Linked DNA regions of Lepisosteus oculatus. The protein of the gene in region 2 purifies or fractionates together with the protein of the main gene of each other region. This does not show direct contact. Links are inferred from orthologs where the notes say so. Each region holds a gene or a part of one and is shown on either strand. Other genes may lie near its edges.

What was found.
Region 1: the proteins of cops3 (region 2) and btbd2a purify together in Homo sapiens (affinity purification with mass spectrometry; 3 studies listed by BioGRID and IntAct, counting the BioPlex papers as one, with this or other methods). This does not show direct contact. The link is inferred for Lepisosteus oculatus from reciprocal best matches to the Homo sapiens genes COPS3 and BTBD2.

The regions. Positions count from the first base shown.
Region 1 is NC_090724.1:9,090,333-9,098,290, reverse strand, and holds the start of btbd2a (BTB/POZ domain-containing protein 2), read right to left. Parts: upstream 3,016-7,958; 5' UTR 2,824-3,015; coding exon 2,282-2,823; intron 1,876-2,281; coding exon 1,756-1,875; intron 892-1,755; coding exon 735-891; intron 1-734. Other genes in the region: hmg20b (SWI/SNF-related matrix-associated actin-dependent regulator of chromatin subfamily E member 1-related), read left to right, coding at 5,599-5,639, 5,784-5,934, 6,009-6,212.
Region 2 is NC_090714.1:4,819,436-4,827,425, forward strand, and holds the start of cops3 (COP9 signalosome complex subunit 3), read right to left. Parts: upstream 3,016-7,990; 5' UTR 2,900-3,015; coding exon 2,845-2,899; intron 1,433-2,844; coding exon 1,303-1,432; intron 609-1,302; coding exon 496-608; intron 400-495; coding exon 350-399; intron 96-349; coding exon 3-95; intron 1-2. Other genes in the region: 5'(3')-deoxyribonucleotidase, mitochondrial, read left to right, coding at 4,318-4,596, 7,054-7,154, 7,804-7,864. UniProt on the Homo sapiens protein: Component of the COP9 signalosome complex (CSN), a complex involved in various cellular and developmental processes.

The sequences.
Region 1 (7,958 bases), on a different chromosome or scaffold from region 2:
CATCGACACGGGGTACCAGAACGGGGCACAGCAGTGAGGCCCCGACACAGCGCTCACAGAGCAATGGGGCACCAAGACATGACTCAGCGCTCACAGAGCAATGGGGCACCAAGACATGACTCAGCGCTCACAGAGCAACAGAGCACCGAGGCCCAACTCGGCGCTCACAGAGCAATGGGGCACCAAGACATGACTCAGCGCTCACAGAGCAACAGAGCACCGAGGCCCAACTCGGCGCTCACAGAGCAATGGGGCACCAAGACATGACTCAGCTCTCACAGAGTAATGGGGCACCAAGACATGACCGAGTGCTCACAGAGCAAACGAGCACCAAGACATTGACTCGGTGCTCACAGAGCAATGGGGCACCAAGACATGACTCGGTGCTCACAGAGCAACGGGGCACTGAGGCCCGACTGCAAAGCCACTAAAGTTTACGAAAATTAAGCGAGCAGCCACTGCCTCTGCCCACATCAGAACAACAACAAAGTGCAGACATGTTTGCCGCCACTGAGCCACTCAAATATCGACTGCAGAAGCTCTGCAGCCACACACAGGAGATCCAGGACTGAGGGAGGAGATCCCTCACTGAGAGCACTGGGACAAATCTCTGTAATAACCTCAACTGGGATGTGCAAACTGTTGAGGACAACCCCCCACAATGAGAATTCTACAATCTTGCTGTTTCACCGTATTCCATGCAGGCGCTCAGAGGGCCACGCGCTGTGCTGTACCTGCGTGAGCAGCATGAAGGCGTTGTCGGCGCGCAGGTTCTTCTTCAGGAACTCCACACAGTGAGTCTCCAGCGCCGGCACGGCGTATTTCTTGGCCGTGTAGAGTGTTGTCATCACCGTCTCCGGCCCGATCTGCACCTCGTCTGAGTACAGGAACCTGGCACACACAGCGCAGGAAACACACTTGGATCACCCAGAGCAGAGAACACGCCTGGCACACGCAGCGCAGAGATCACGCCTGGCACAGGCAGCGCAGAGATCACGCCTGGCACAGGCAGCGCAGAGATCATGCCTGGCACACATAGCGCAGAGATCATGCCTGGCACACGCAGCGCAGAGATCATGCCTGGCACACGCAGCGCAGAGATCACGTCTGGTACACGCAGCGCAGAGATCACGCCTGGTACACGCAGCGCAGAGATCACGCCTGGCACACGCAGCGCAGAGATCACGCCTGGCACACGCAGCGCAGAGATCACGCCTGGTACACGCAGTGCTGCGAGGATAACACTAGAGCTCTAGACTTCAAGGCCAGGGTCAGGGGCAGGAGTGTGAGCTGGAGCAGAGCCAGGGGCAGGAGCAGAGAGAAAGACAGGGGCAGGGGCAGAGATAGAGACAAGGGCAGGGGCAGGAGCAGAGACAGAGACAAGGGCAGGGGCAGGGGCAGAGACAAGGGCAGGGGCAAGGGCAGAAACAGAGACAGAGACAAGGGCAGGGGAGGGGCAGAGACTCTGGCGTGGGCTGGAGCAGGGGCAGAGACACACAGGTCGTGAGACAAACAGTCACTGACACAGGGGCAGAGACACACAGAGCGCGAAACAGTCACTGTCACAAGGGTAGAGACACACAGGGTGCAAGACACAAAAGTCACTGCCGCAGGGGCAGAGACACACAGGGGGCGAGACACACAGTCACGGACGCAGGGGCAGAGACAAGGGCAGGAGCAGGGGCAGAGACACACAGTCAGGGACGCAGGGGCAGACAGGCGGACAGCGAGAGGGCTGGTGTGACCGAGTCTCACTTTAGTAGCGCTAGGAAGGCGGCGGGTTCGACGTCCGGCAGCTCGATCTCCGTTGAAGTGGTGGCCATTCCCCCGTTGAACATGGCATCAAACACGGCGCTGCCCACGGCCAGCACAAACCTGCCACAGACACACAGGGGAATCCGGACATGTCCTGCAGAAACACGCGCCACGCCTGACAGCGGGTCGGGTCGGGTCCTGTTTCGGACATTCATTTCATTCTCCACTGTCTACAGTCTCCCCTGCAGCTCGGACTATTTCTGCCCTGGAGTCTGCGTGTGTGCACAGACCTCGGCATGGTCCTCACCCAGGACACAGGCAGTCTTTATAATAATAGTATATAACTGTCAACACGATCTGCACGGCACGCTTTTAAAAAGAAATGTCCGGTCCTTTAGCTAAAATACTGCGCACAATAATCACAGCAAAACATCCGTACGCAAGACGCAGAGTTTTGCCGTGATAATCATACAGTATATTTTTAAAGCGCAGTCACCGTCAGTGCTGCATGTCGCAGCCGGCTCACCTGTGCGCAGGTATGCGCTGTACCCCCATGCCCTTCCCGACCAAGAAATGCACGTCGCTCAGGACTTCGTTGTTGAACAAGAAGGCGAATCTCTCCTTCACCGTGCTCTTCGTTGCCTGCCAGTTGTACACGGGCTCCCGGTACACCAGCACGGCGGCGGCCGCTGCAGGAGCCGAGGGCAGCGCGGACGGCGTGACCGAGGCCGAGGCTGCGGCTGCCGTCTCCCCGGCGGCCGCGGCCGCAGCGCCGGCGCTCTGAGCCGAGCCGCCCTGCGAGGAAGCGTTCTGCGTCGCCGGGGTAGCGCCAACTGCGGCACCGCCGCCTGCGCCGGGGCCCGGCTGGGGATTGCAGTGCCCGCCCGCTCCCTGCACCCCTCCCGCAGGCCCCGGCGATGCCCCGGCGCTGTTGGCCGAGGCCTGAGCGCTGTTGTTCGACTGCACGTTGCCGAGGGGTCCGGGGTTGGAGAAATTCAGACACGGAGCTCCACCGCCGCTCCCACCCGCAGCCATCTTGGAATGGAAGAGACAGGCGCAGCAGCGCATCGCCGCACTGCACGGCTGGGATCGGACTCGGAGCGCATCGCCGGGGAGAGAGGACAGCGGCGGGCTAGGGGGGTGGCCAGGTTTCTGCTCGCAAGCCAGACGCCGTGCCTTGGTTTGATGAGATTAGATATTTCTCGGCGTTTAGTGCAACAACACCCTCCTGTCAAATTCACGCTCTGCATCGTCATCGTGTAATTTTTATGCAGAGGTTGTTACCTCGGGAGTGACGGTGGACTCGGATATCAGGGCAGGAGCGGGCTGTACCACAGAGAGGTCTGGTGACCCCGATGTTCAGAGCAAATTTAGGATTAAAAATACACGTTGCTTTGGAAGGGAAGCCAGGAGCAGGCTGCACAGTTGAAGAGGGTGGGATGGTGGTGACACAGCACTCCTGCCCTGGCCCAACTCCTCTGGAGAGCGAGGGAGCTCCTGCTGAGCCCTGGGTAGCCTTGCAAGTCCTTCGGTAATCTTTAATTACAGAAGTAATCTGGGTTGACTGAACAATGAAGGGTCAGTTCTGAATCTAAGGGAAGAGCACTGTAATGGCTGGATCCTGGGAAGTGGTGTGGCTGAGCCCACACTGCCAGCCTGGTCACCCCAGGCCAAACCCTCTGCCAAGTCACCCAGCAGAGCACCGACTGGGGCAAGTCACCCAGCAGAGCACCCCAGAGCACCGACTGGGGCAAGTCACAGCCTCCCTCCTGGGGTTCAGAGCAGGGGTCCACAATGTTAGACACCTAGTGGACTGGACAGCCTGCAGATACACTGCAGACTCACTGACCCCTCCAGGACCAGGACTGGAGAACCCTGCAGACACACTGACCCTCCAGGACCAAGACTGGACAGCCTGCAGACACACTGACCCCTCCAATAGCAGGACTGGAGAACCCTGCAGACACACTGACCCTCCAGGACCAAGACTGGACAGCCTGCAGACACACTGACCCCTCCAGGACCAGGACTGGACACCCTGCAGACACACTGACCCTCCAGGACCAAGACTGGACAGCCTGCAGACACACTGACCCCTCCAATAGCAGGACTGGACACCCTGCAGACACACTGACCCTCCAGGACCAAGACTGGACAGCCTGCAGACACACTGACCCCTCCAATAGCAGGACTGGACACCCTGCAGACACACTGACCCTCCAGGACCAAGACTGGACAGCCTGCAGACTCACCGACCCCTCCAGGACCAGGACTGTAGAACCCTGCAGACACACTGGCCCTCCAGGACCAAGACTGGACAGCCTGCAGACACACTGACCCTTCAGGACCAGGACTGGACAGCCTGCAGACACACTGACCCCTCCAATAGCAGGACTGGACACCCTGCAGACACACTGACCCTCCAGGACCAAGACTGGACAGCCTGCAGACATGCTGACCCCTCCAGGACCAGGACTGGACACCCTGCAGACACACTGACCCTCCAGGACCAGGACTGGACAGCCTGCAGACACACTGACCCCTCCAATAGCAGAACTGGACACCCTGCAGACACACTGACCCCTCCAGAACCAGGACTGGACACCCTGCAGATACACTGACCCTCCAGGACCAGGACTGGAGAACCCTGCAGACACACTGACCCTCCAGGACCAGGACTGGACAGCCTGCAGACACACTGACCTCTCCAGGACTGGAATTGTGGACATATTTATATACTGGATAATATATACATTGTATATGTAAAGTGGGGCTAAAATATTACCGTTTTGTTTCACGTGAAAACAAAAATGTATAGATACATTTAACTCTTAGAAAAGTTTTATTGACTTTGTTTCAAGCAAATCTCAGATTTAAATATTAGAATTGAGAACCTTGAGAAGTTGAAATCCTATTTAATGTAAAAATGTATGTTATAAAATCACATTTCGCAATTCTCAAGACCCAAAACAAAACCGACAAACTATATGGTGAACCGCTTCCGTGACTGACACCCATATAACCCAATAGAACGCGTGCTTTATCGCGCTTGCCCAATCCAGGCTTCCCGATAACTTTTTATAAGAAGCAGACACCCCGCCTCCCGCGAACCCCCAGAGCCAATCAGAGTTTCGGATATCCGGAAGAGCCAATGGAATGGCTCAGGGCGGTATGATAATTGCCTTCCCGGAGTTTGGTTGAGAGGGCGGATAGCGAGAAGCTGTGGGTTGTCGAGAGGTAACTGTGAAGTTTTTTTCACCGTGTTTTATTGAATTATCTGTGTGGAAAAAAACGTGGTTTCGCCATAGAAAACTCTAAAACTTCGAGCGGCAGAGCCGAGACCCGCTGTAGGGCCCCACAGGTTCGGTTTTAGCCGTGAGAGATGGACGAAGCGTAGGATTATGCGCTCTTTTGTTAAAAGCCTGGTTATTTTAACTCCACCGTGAGGGGGGCCGTGCTGTAGCAGACGGAGAAAAAAAGATACAAGCTGCTGTGACTAATTTATATTTTTGATTTATATTTTAGCTATATAACAAGTTCGTGGTGGATTCTGCCTTTCATATTTGAACCTCTGTACCTTGTCTACCTGAATTATTATAATTGGGACCAGCGCGGAACCGTTGGGGGCGCAGTCGCGATGTTGTTTGAAATTGGGGTGTTTGCTGGTCGGGCGCTGTTCTGTGGACGGAGGGAGCGGACTGTGCGGGTCTGACCTCCTCACCTCTGGCGGTCGGGGGTCCGTCCGGCAGCTCCGTGTTCTGGCCTGACTGTCCCTGAGTGGGGTGTGTGTGTGGGGGGCTCTGTGTTTGTGACTGTGTCTGTTCTCTCCAGGCAGGTGCAGGGATGTCTCAGAACACTAAGCACCAGCAGGGCGGCGCCACTGAGTGAGTACACAGGGGCAGGGGCAGGAGTTGGGGCAAAGGTGGGGTAAGAACTTGGGCTGGGGGCAGGGGCAGCTCTGTCTCTTCCTTGGGTTGAGTCATTTCAGATCCTCAGCTGTGTCTCAGCTGGTAATCCTTCTTCCCCAGCCCCTCGCGGAGCTCTGCCATGAACGGGGGGGTGTTTATCGCTGGCGGGGTGAAGCTGGAGCAGACGGAGGTGGGGACCCATCGTGCCCACAACCCCCCCGAAAGCGAGGGACCAGCCGCCGGCCAGCCGGGCCGCGCCCCCGAGGAGGAGGTCAGGACGGCCGGCCGGGCGCGCGCGACTGACCGCCCCGGGGCAGACACGCTGACCCCTCTCTCCCCCCCCAGCCCGTGAAGAAGCGTGGCTGGCCCAAGGGCAAGAAGAGGAAGAAGGTGCTGCCGAACGGGCCGAAGGCGCCGGTGACGGGGTACGTGCGCTTCCTGAACGAGCGGCGCGAGCAGATCCGGGCGCAGCACCCCGACCTGCCCTTCCCCGAGATCACCAAGAGGCTGGGCGCCGAGTGGAGCCGCCTGGCCCCCCAGGAGAAGCAGGTGAGCGTGCGGGCGGGGCGCCACGCGGGGCGGCTGAGCTGAGCTGTCTCTGTGTGTCTCTGTCTCTCTCTGTGTGTGTCTGATCTCTATCTCTCTGGCTGTATTCTGTGCTGTCTCTGTCTCTCTCTGTGTGTCTCTGTCTCTCTCTGTGTGTGTCTGATCTCTATCTCTCTGGCTGTGCTCTGCTCTGTCTCTGGTCTCTGTCTCCCTCGGTCTGTCTCTCTGGTTGTGCTCTGCTCTGTCTCTGGTCTCTGTCTCCCTCGGTCTGTCTCTCTGGTTGTGCTCTGCTCTGTCTCTGGTCTCTGTCTCCCTCGGTCTGTCTCTCTGGTTGCTCTCTGGCTGTATTCTGTGCTGTCTCTGTCTCTCTCTGCGTGTCTGTCTGTGCTCTCTCTGTGTGTCTGATCTCTATCTCTCTGGCTGTGCTCTGGTCTGTCTCTGGTCTCTGTCTACATCGTCTGTCTCTCTGGTTGTGCTCTGCGCGGTCTCTGGTCTCTGGTCTCTCTGGCTGTGCTCTGTGCTGGTTCTGGTCTCTCTGGTCTCTGGGTCTGCTCTGCGTCTCTGGCTATGCTCTGTGCAGTTTCTGGTCTCTGTCTCTGGCTGTGCTCTGCGCTGTCTTTGGTCTTTGTCTCTCAATTCAATTTCCATTCAAGATGCTTTGTTGGCATGACCAATGACTAAAATCAGTGTAGCCAAAGCAAAATAAAATTAACATAAAGTCTACAGACAATTACAGACATTTCCAATGCAGATACAATCATAATATATTTACATATAAATATATGGAGCATTATTGGGAGACAGGCTCACTGTTCCTCAGGGTGTGACGAGATCACACACTGGTCTTCCAGTTCAACTGAGTTCCCTCCTCCCTCTCCCAGTAGGATCGGGAGTTGTTGTGATTGTGGCAGTTATGAGAATTTTGGGATTAGATTTGTAAATTTAGGGAAGACTGTTTCTCTAATCCCAGAGTATCTGTCACAGTGCAGTTGGAAGTGCATCTCTGTCTCTGTTTCTCCCCGCTGGCAGTAGGAGCACAGCCTGTCCTCTCTGGGCAGCCAGGTCTGCCTGTGTCACCCAGTTTCTATGGCCAGGCTGTGGTCACTGAGCCTGTACTTCGTCAGGGTCTGTTTCATTTTGCCATTACTTATGTTGGTCAAATATTCAGGTAGCATGTATTGTCTATTTTGGATTCTGTAGCATTCCAGTTTGTGTGCGAGTGTCCCAGTGTGTGAGATATTGCTGTTTGATCTGTGCTGTGATGTGCTTGGGTCTGAGTTGTGATGCTCTAGCAGTGCTGTCCTGAGGCTGGCTGGTGTCGGTGTGGCTCAGGCCAGTGAGCCTCAGGACCAGCTGGCTCAGGAGGCTCTTTGTTGGGCTCAGCTCTTGGCTCAGCAGGGCCTTGTGGTGGTAGGGGTTTTGGTTGCTGCTTTTTAAGTATTACCAATACTTTATTACTCTTTTTTTTTCTCTGCACATGGATGATGTTTCTACAGATCTCCATGTGCAGAGTTTCTATGGAGTGTTTGTCCCATTAAGTGTACTCCTGGTCTATGAGGAGACCCCACACCTCACTGCCTTGTATTACAATTGGTTGGATTACACTTTCGAATATTTGCAGCAAAATCTTTATAGGGGAGCTGATGTTGTAGAGCCTTCTTGTAGAAAACCATGATTCTGGTCTTGTCCAGATTGCCTGTCAGGAAGACGAAGGTCTATCAGTACTGCTCCAGCAGTGCCAGGTTCTGC
Region 2 (7,990 bases):
ACCTGACAGAGGTCTGCATGAATTGAGGTAAGCTGGTTTGTGTTCATCTGCATTTTATCTATTGCCTGCTTTAGAATGCCAACTCCCCTTAGTGGCTGTGGTGAAATAAACAGATGAAGTTAGAAGTGTTAAATAAAGTTTCAGTATACTTGGACAACACATAAGAGCAATAACATTTGGACAGATGATCTAAAATAAATTTGTACTAATGTGATAATATCGAAAAGCGTTTAATACATGCTTTAATATCTGGATAAACAGCCCTGTAGAAAGGTTGCTCAATTTCAATGTTAATGAAGCTGTCTCATTTGTGATATTTTGTATACATCTTCATCCGTTTCTGATTTACCTGTTTCCGTTCTACGAGAGCATTTGTTAACTGATGGCAGAGGCCAGCAACTGCAAGACAAAAACAAAGGAACAACGTGGCTCATACTAGAACAAAATTAGAAGAGTCTGACTAACACTTAATCTAAAGCACATGTAGAGACTTACAAGTGTCTGTTGCATATCTGATGTGCTCTCCATTGCAGGTGCTGATGAAGAGCTGAACCTGCGAGAATAGCGTTTCAAAATCGGGGATGTTTGGCATGGAAAACTTGACAAATCTGCAACACGTAGGGAAAAGAAAAATCACAAAACCAGGAAAACGTGTTTGAAGGCTGTTTCAGCCGCCTTCACATTGAACCTGGGCCAATTAAAAAGGCAAGCCATCTAATAGATTCTATACCTTAGGTGTGACTTGTTAGGAGTTAAAATGAAAGAAATCCAAAACTGGAATCAATTTCAATTCACATCTTGGGGACCTGTTGAATCCCACAGAGCTGCTTTCATAGACAGACTTGTCTTCGTAATATCGTCAATACTCAGTTTCAGCCAGTGCTCTCAAACCAAGTTCATCAAAGGTCTTGCGTCTTATTATTCTTGTTCCAAAATATATAGTCAATTAACCTCATTATTTTCTATTGTGTATTGTGTATTAGACATACACAAAATATTTTACTGTCCTTACAGGTATAGTTACCTAGAAATCAGCTCACAGCCTGATTAGAAGTACTATATTACAATTATGCAGCTAATTGAATAATTTGATCATCTATGTAACTGTGGAGACGATTGGAACAAAAACTAAAATGCACTAGGCCCTCCTGGAACACTCTTCTATTTGAGATCCCGGTTCTAAACTAACTCACTTATTGCCCAGATAATTATTCCCTTTTGGACTTATTGTCCTATTGGCGTTTAAAGGAAAATCAAACAAAATATTCCCGTCTCTGCGTCATTGTCGAAGTGCAAACTTACAGGACTGCAAGAACACCGAGCGAGTGCTCCTGTATGTCCAGCGCCCCAAGAACTGTGTCTAAATGGGACAGGTTTTTCGCCAGCAGCTCCCCGCTCTTATTTATCAATTCGCACAGTTGTGTCATCTGACCTGAAAAACATCCACGACATTCGCCAAATTACTCTACACAGAAAAGCACGTTTGGGCTCAGTGCACGACGTGGGGTGTTTTGTGCTTGTTGTAAAAATAGGATCAATTTCAGAACTTTTACCTTTGCGCCAGTTTTGCTTGCTCTAACATTTGTGTTGGAACTCGAATCAAAATGAAATGCTTCCCGGGTGCAATTGACAGGTCACGATTCATGAGCTTGGGGACGTTGAAAGGACAGAGCCTCTTGATTTGAAATTAGTTATCGCACAATATTTCTGCTCACTTCCCAACTACGCTACGGCCTCTTAATATAGAAGCTACGGATTTTTTTATGTAGAGAATTTGAGAAAATGTCACTCCGTTTTAAAGCTGTGAACGACTGCAGGACGTACTGAAAAGGATAAAACACAGCCTCATCTGCTAATACCAGATTCAAATCAAAATAAGGTACCCATTTCTTCATAGCGGTTTAGTAGCACGGGTAATTAGATTTAAAATCCTGTCTAAATTTTACACTCCCTTTTATTGTGATCTTAATTAAACATTACGGCAGGTGCTGAACATGCTGACAGCTTTACTTTCACAACAGCGAAATCACAGAGAACAGGGGACGTGCTGGCTTTATCAAACCCCCTGTTAATCAACGCAGCACCATTCTCTAGTGACATTTAGAGACACTTTCAAATAAAACCTCTTGAAGACAGAAAGCACAGATTCATTTTTTTCAGACACACACAACTGCCATCTAGAAATGGGTACATGGCATCTGTTTATAGCGCAGGTTTGATGACATGACATGCCTGCATGTACAGACCTGAAACTGGTAAATTAGTTTTACTGGGTTGTCACTGGTTGTGATGGACAGGTTACCATTTACATAAACCTAGTAACCGGGAAATAGCGTATTTAATGGTCGCCTCATCATCTTAATTATAAAGAAACGTACGATTTGTAGTGCTGCTCCTTAGCTGCGTTACAGGTACTGTATGTTATGACATTAACCAGCATGAGGCCTGCACACATTTATCACCGGAAGTAACCCCCCACCGGGTAAGTGACAGGACAAGCAACCAATCACAGCAGCGCTTTCGACAGCTAATCCAATAAAAGCCCACTTGGGAGGAACTACCTGTCGACATACGGTTAGAAACATTTTCTCAAGGAAAAAGGGGAACAAAACTGCCTTTTCATGTTTTGTCGTTAAGCGTCTATCTTTGCTTTAATGCACCCGTTCAAAATACAGCTTTGCCAAGAGCTGAAAACGGAAAGGACTGCGAGACTCGCGTAAAAGCCAGACTTGTTTACATGATAAAGCATTTTTTTAAAAAAAAAAATGCAGGCTCCGTGCTGCAGCTGAAGGATTAATAATTACTAACAGCTTCTGGGGGTGGGAGGCCAGCCGCTGTACCTACCCTGAGCCGAAAGCTGCCGAACGTTATTCACGAACTGCTCCAGAGCTGAAGCCATTCTTGCCTTCTGCCGTTTTCGGGGTTGTCGTTCTCAATCTGTTCTCATTCAAATGTCAGGAGTAGCCCAGCGTGAGGGGGCCCACAGAGCCGCCACTGACGGGAAATATCGCGAGAGGCTCGAGGACTGCCGCTGCTGCCGGGATTTCAGGGCACGAGCCGCTCGCGCCCTTAAAGCTACAGTACAGGCGCCAGCGCGTTCCGTCTCCAACGGTCGCTCCCCTCCAGCCTTACCGGCCGACCGTTTTCGTTAAAACTTTTGTTTTTAAGTCTGTGCATTGAAACGCAATGACAGTCAAGCAGCACCACGAATGCTGTTGAAATCTGGGAAGTCAAATTTCCCCAAATAAAGTATTTCCTTTACAGAACTTTTTCAAAAGCTTGGAACTCCCTTATCTTGAAAGTCTTTACAGGTCCATGGTGGCGAAAATCATGTTGTCCTGGGAAAATCATAGTTAGCTGGGGGATTGAAGGTTCCCAGAGGCTGTGTGGGTGTTTTTTTAATTGCTGTAAAAACATTTCTTATCGGTTGCAAAGCACAATACAGAAAGGCCTGGGGAAATGCTAACGTTGCGCTTTTAATAGGTAAATACCCTGTTTAACCTCTATAGCTGCATTGAATAAATGTTCAAAATAGACAACATCTATTGCTTAGATTTAAATTTTTATTTAAACCTCAGAAATACAAAAAAAGGAGACAAGATATTAAAACTGATACAGAAATAGACACTGCGCAACCAGAGGAATTCACAATTATAAAAGCTGAACAATTAATTTTTTTACACATTTCCATTATATGTCTTATTTTACTGCCCGAGACATTATGGCGTGTTTTATTTATTTTTTTTAATCTCTCTTCGGTCACGTTTTCCTTTAAGAGTGAAAGGAGGCCAAAACACGGGAAGGCTAGTACTACCGGGTTATAGGTGGGGTTTGTTTTTCCCAAAAGGGAGTGATCTGCGGCAGGACTGGTTTGCAGTCCGGGGTGTGTGGGCGGCATGGCATTTTACTACTGCGGGCCTGGCTCTTTGAAATAGTTGCTTAGCTACCAGAGATAAATTGCACTGTTGTGAAGAAGGCCACATGTGCAGAGAGGGGCACGGACAGGCAGTGGGGAACTAGCCGAGATTAACTCCATTTTGCCCAGTTGAAGTATTTGTACGAATCAAGCACCCCTTGAAGACATGCAAGCGGGGCTGGCAGAGGTCCCGGAGGCAGGTGTAAAACGCTGGGCTGCGCATAAGAAAAAAGACCGACACCTGTTTATGCCCTTCTATATTTTGCATTCGGTTTTTAAGTTTTAGGTATACCCCCCAATTTAAATGCAACTCAATTGTGTTTGCAGTTGTGCGGTTTGCTTGTTGGCTCCAGGTGGACCTTTGGACACTCTTGTCGTTGCCCCTTACATATATAATTAACATGATTTTATTGCCTCGAATTTTACCCTTGCGAAAGGTGGAACATGTTCTGAAACCTACGCAGCTCAGGTGGCTTGCTGGTCCTGCAGAAAAGATGCCGGTTTCCTTTCCTAAAAGGCTGCGTGTTTTAGTGGATATGGATGGAGTCATTGCAGACTTCGAAGGAGGGTTTTTAAAGAAATTCAGGGCCAGGTATCCTAACGAGCCTTACATTACTTTAGAGGATCGCAGGGGATTTTGGGTCTCAACCCAGTACGGACACCTGAGGAGCGATCTCTGCGTAAGTGTGAATAAATGCACGTTTTGTAACGTATTTCCAAATCATTTCGTATTTTTATTACTAACACGTCGTTACGCTTGCACCAGGAGGAAAATATATGGAATATATTTTCGTAAAATAAAAAAATATATATTTTGAGCATGTATATGAGACGCCTGAGGCAGTTTCAGCTTGGCAGTCGGAGCTAAAATCGGTACTCGGTAAGTGAAATTTCAGCAGGCTAAGAAATCCGAAACTTTGTTCAAAGAATTTCCTGCAGGTGACGACATGCACTGGTGAACTCACGCCTGGTGTTTCTGCAGTGCTTTTTATTCGAAATTCATTTCTGTTTACCTTACTTCCCCTAAAAAGTCTCCTTAGAAAATGTCTCGTGTTAAAAATGTCTCTTAGGTCTTTCAGGGCGAAATAATAAAAAAAAGAACACGCTTAAGCATTCCTTTAAGCAAAGTGTGAAGTATTTCAGAAGTAATTAAGTAAGGGTTTTACATAAGAGACAGGTGTGCGATTACATGTCACCTGCATGGGTAGGATTAATTTGAGTTTCAACACATTACGTGCTTAATGTGAGATCTCAATTCTTATCTTCCATTGAATGTCGTTTTGCTCTATGCTGTACAGCGGGAATCTCCACACCCTGGTCCCGGAGAACACCAGTCCAGTTAATTTTACGGACCGGCAGTTTCTAAAGAGGAATTAACAAGTGTTATCCACAGTGATCAATTTAAAAAGTATTCTGCTAAATTGAGATATCTGGGCTTTGAGGATTGAAGAATATTTGGACCGCAGCCCAAAATGATCACTAAATTACCTAATTTAATAAATCACCTGCGTAACTTAAATAGTTGTATGCCGAAGTTTTTGATCAAATTGCATGTTTCAACCTCTGCAGGGTACAAACCTAAACGTGACCAATTTCTGCACATTTTAATGCACAATTACTCTTTTGTTTGCTTACTTTTATCAGGTCGAAAAAAAAATAAAACGAGTAATGAGGCATGTGCAAAAGTTTGATTCTTTAATACTTTTTTTTTTAAGGCCAGAAAACGCGATGGACTCATTAGGCCTTAAATGAAGCCAGGTGAATACACTCCCAGAGTTAATCCTCTGACCCCTCTAACCTCTCAGGATGCTGTGCCTACTCTCAACAAGCAAGCTCCCTAAGCAGCTGACTAAGGACTTCAAAATTAACCTTTTCGTACAACTATCTTTTAACTGCTAGTTTGATGGCTACCTAGGAACCTTGCTGGACTAGAGCTCTTCAGGACCAGGGTTGGTTCCTCTTACTGTACAGGTATCGCTTCTGCTGTGATCTTCATCTCCATGGTATCTTTTTAATCAAGATTATATTTGAACAAAAATAGTTGCATATCAATGGTAAAACGTGAAATACAGGAATAGGAATCCCTTCTACCCATCTTGGTGATGGGGGGGAGGGAAATAAACTTACTGTACAAAGAAAACTGCACAAAATCTGATGTCTTGTTGTATTGACCTGTTTCGGCAACTAATTCCGAGAAAAAATCAGAAGTTGTCCTTTGTGATAATCAAGAGACTTTTGCTTTAGAGCTCTGCCAACAGTATTAACCTAGCCTGTCTTCTCAGTGCTAATAATGGAGTTGCTCTGCTATTTCCTAAGTCAGCAGAGGTCTCTGTTATGAAGAAAAAACAGCTGCACAAATCCTCAATATTAAAGATCAGGAACATCTTAATTGATAACAGAAGTCATTATCATACTTCTATGACAGAACAGCTGACTTGTCAGTCTCTGGTTTGGTACTAAAATGATATTAACAGCACCAGGAATGTCCTGTTAATATCCGTCCATCACTATCATTATTAGTAAACAGATGTACAGTAGTGTCTGTGAAAGTCAGTAGGCCCATTAATGATATGTTTCATTTAGAATGAAAAAAATCAAGACATGGTAAATGTGATTTTTAGTGAAAGTGAGCAGATAATACAAATTAGCCTTGTTTATACAGGGTCATCGATTTAGTTTTTATTATGGGGAAAAAGGTGTATTTTTAAATACAGATCCTGACTCTCGCATGGGATTTGATGTTTTATACCTCAGTGTACTTAGCACTTGAAAGGCGTACAGAGTTAACGGACATACTGTAGCAACAATTAACAATCTTCAAGGTTGTCTCGGTGGGAGTTTAAATTAGTGTCATTTGATACAACCGAAACAATGAATAAACCAGTTTAGAATCTGATTTCTCTTTTAAGCTTTGTGCATCAATAGGTTTCCAGGCCTGAAACATTTATTTCACAGCAATAATGATTGTTTTTGAGACGTCCTAGGAATTTCTCAGGTTTTTAATCATTAGCGTTTTGTTTTTTTAAGAAGTCAACTCCTGAGATTTTGTACTGGGTTTCACAGGGTTTCCACAGGGGCCCTGTATACTGCCAGTCACATTTAGCAAATAGACACTGAGTTGACCTCATTGTTTGCAGGAGAAGGCTATCAGCATATGGGAAACTAAGAACTTCTTTATAGACCTGGAGCCTCTTCCCGGTGCTGTGGTAGCTGTGAAGGAGATGTCCAAGCTTGAAAAGTAAGTCTTTTTTTTAATGAAGCTTTTGATCCCTATACATAAATCCACTGAAAGTCAAAAGAAAGGATCACTTGTCCTTGCTACAGATTTATTAAGCTATCATCAGGAAAGATGTTTTTTCTTCCAGCAGGTACACTGACACTTACAGTACCAAGAAAGTCAGGTCTGTTACAGGCTAGTAACGTGTGTGGTCTCTGTTTGAAGCCCTGCAAACTGTCAAATGGTGAAGTGTGTTTTTTATTAAGTTGCAGGTGTTTTCTTTTGGAACTCTGTCCCTTTCCTCTTGTACACCCTAGGCATGCATTTGCCTTTACACAAAGTGTGCTACCCAAAGCCCCAATGAGTGGCTCCACCAGTGAAGTACCTTGCCCAAGTGTGGGTTGGGTTGAGGGTTGTGGTCCTGGTGGTCCAAGTCAATTCCAGTCCTTTCCTGTCTGCCCCGATTGTTCCTTGTTTCGTTTTTTTTTCGACGGCGACATTAATTATCATGACGTAAGCAGGGTTTCTGAGCCAAAAAAGTCTGTTCCAGGACAGCTGACATCCAACTTATAAGCAGTGGTTCTCTTTCTTGTAGCTGAATTAATTTTAACACATAGAGTGATGACAGATGTTTCATTTCTTACACATTGTATATTTTATTCTTTTTCAGCACAGATGTTTTTATTTGCACCAGTCCAATTAACAATTACAACCACTGTCCTTATGAAAAGGTACGTTTACCCTTGTATGTATTCCACCTTTAGTACTATCAAGCATGCTCATCCTTATTTTTTCAGCATAAAATTTATTGTAATTCTTCCTTTTTAGGTGCATTACTGTAAGCCACACAAAATAAG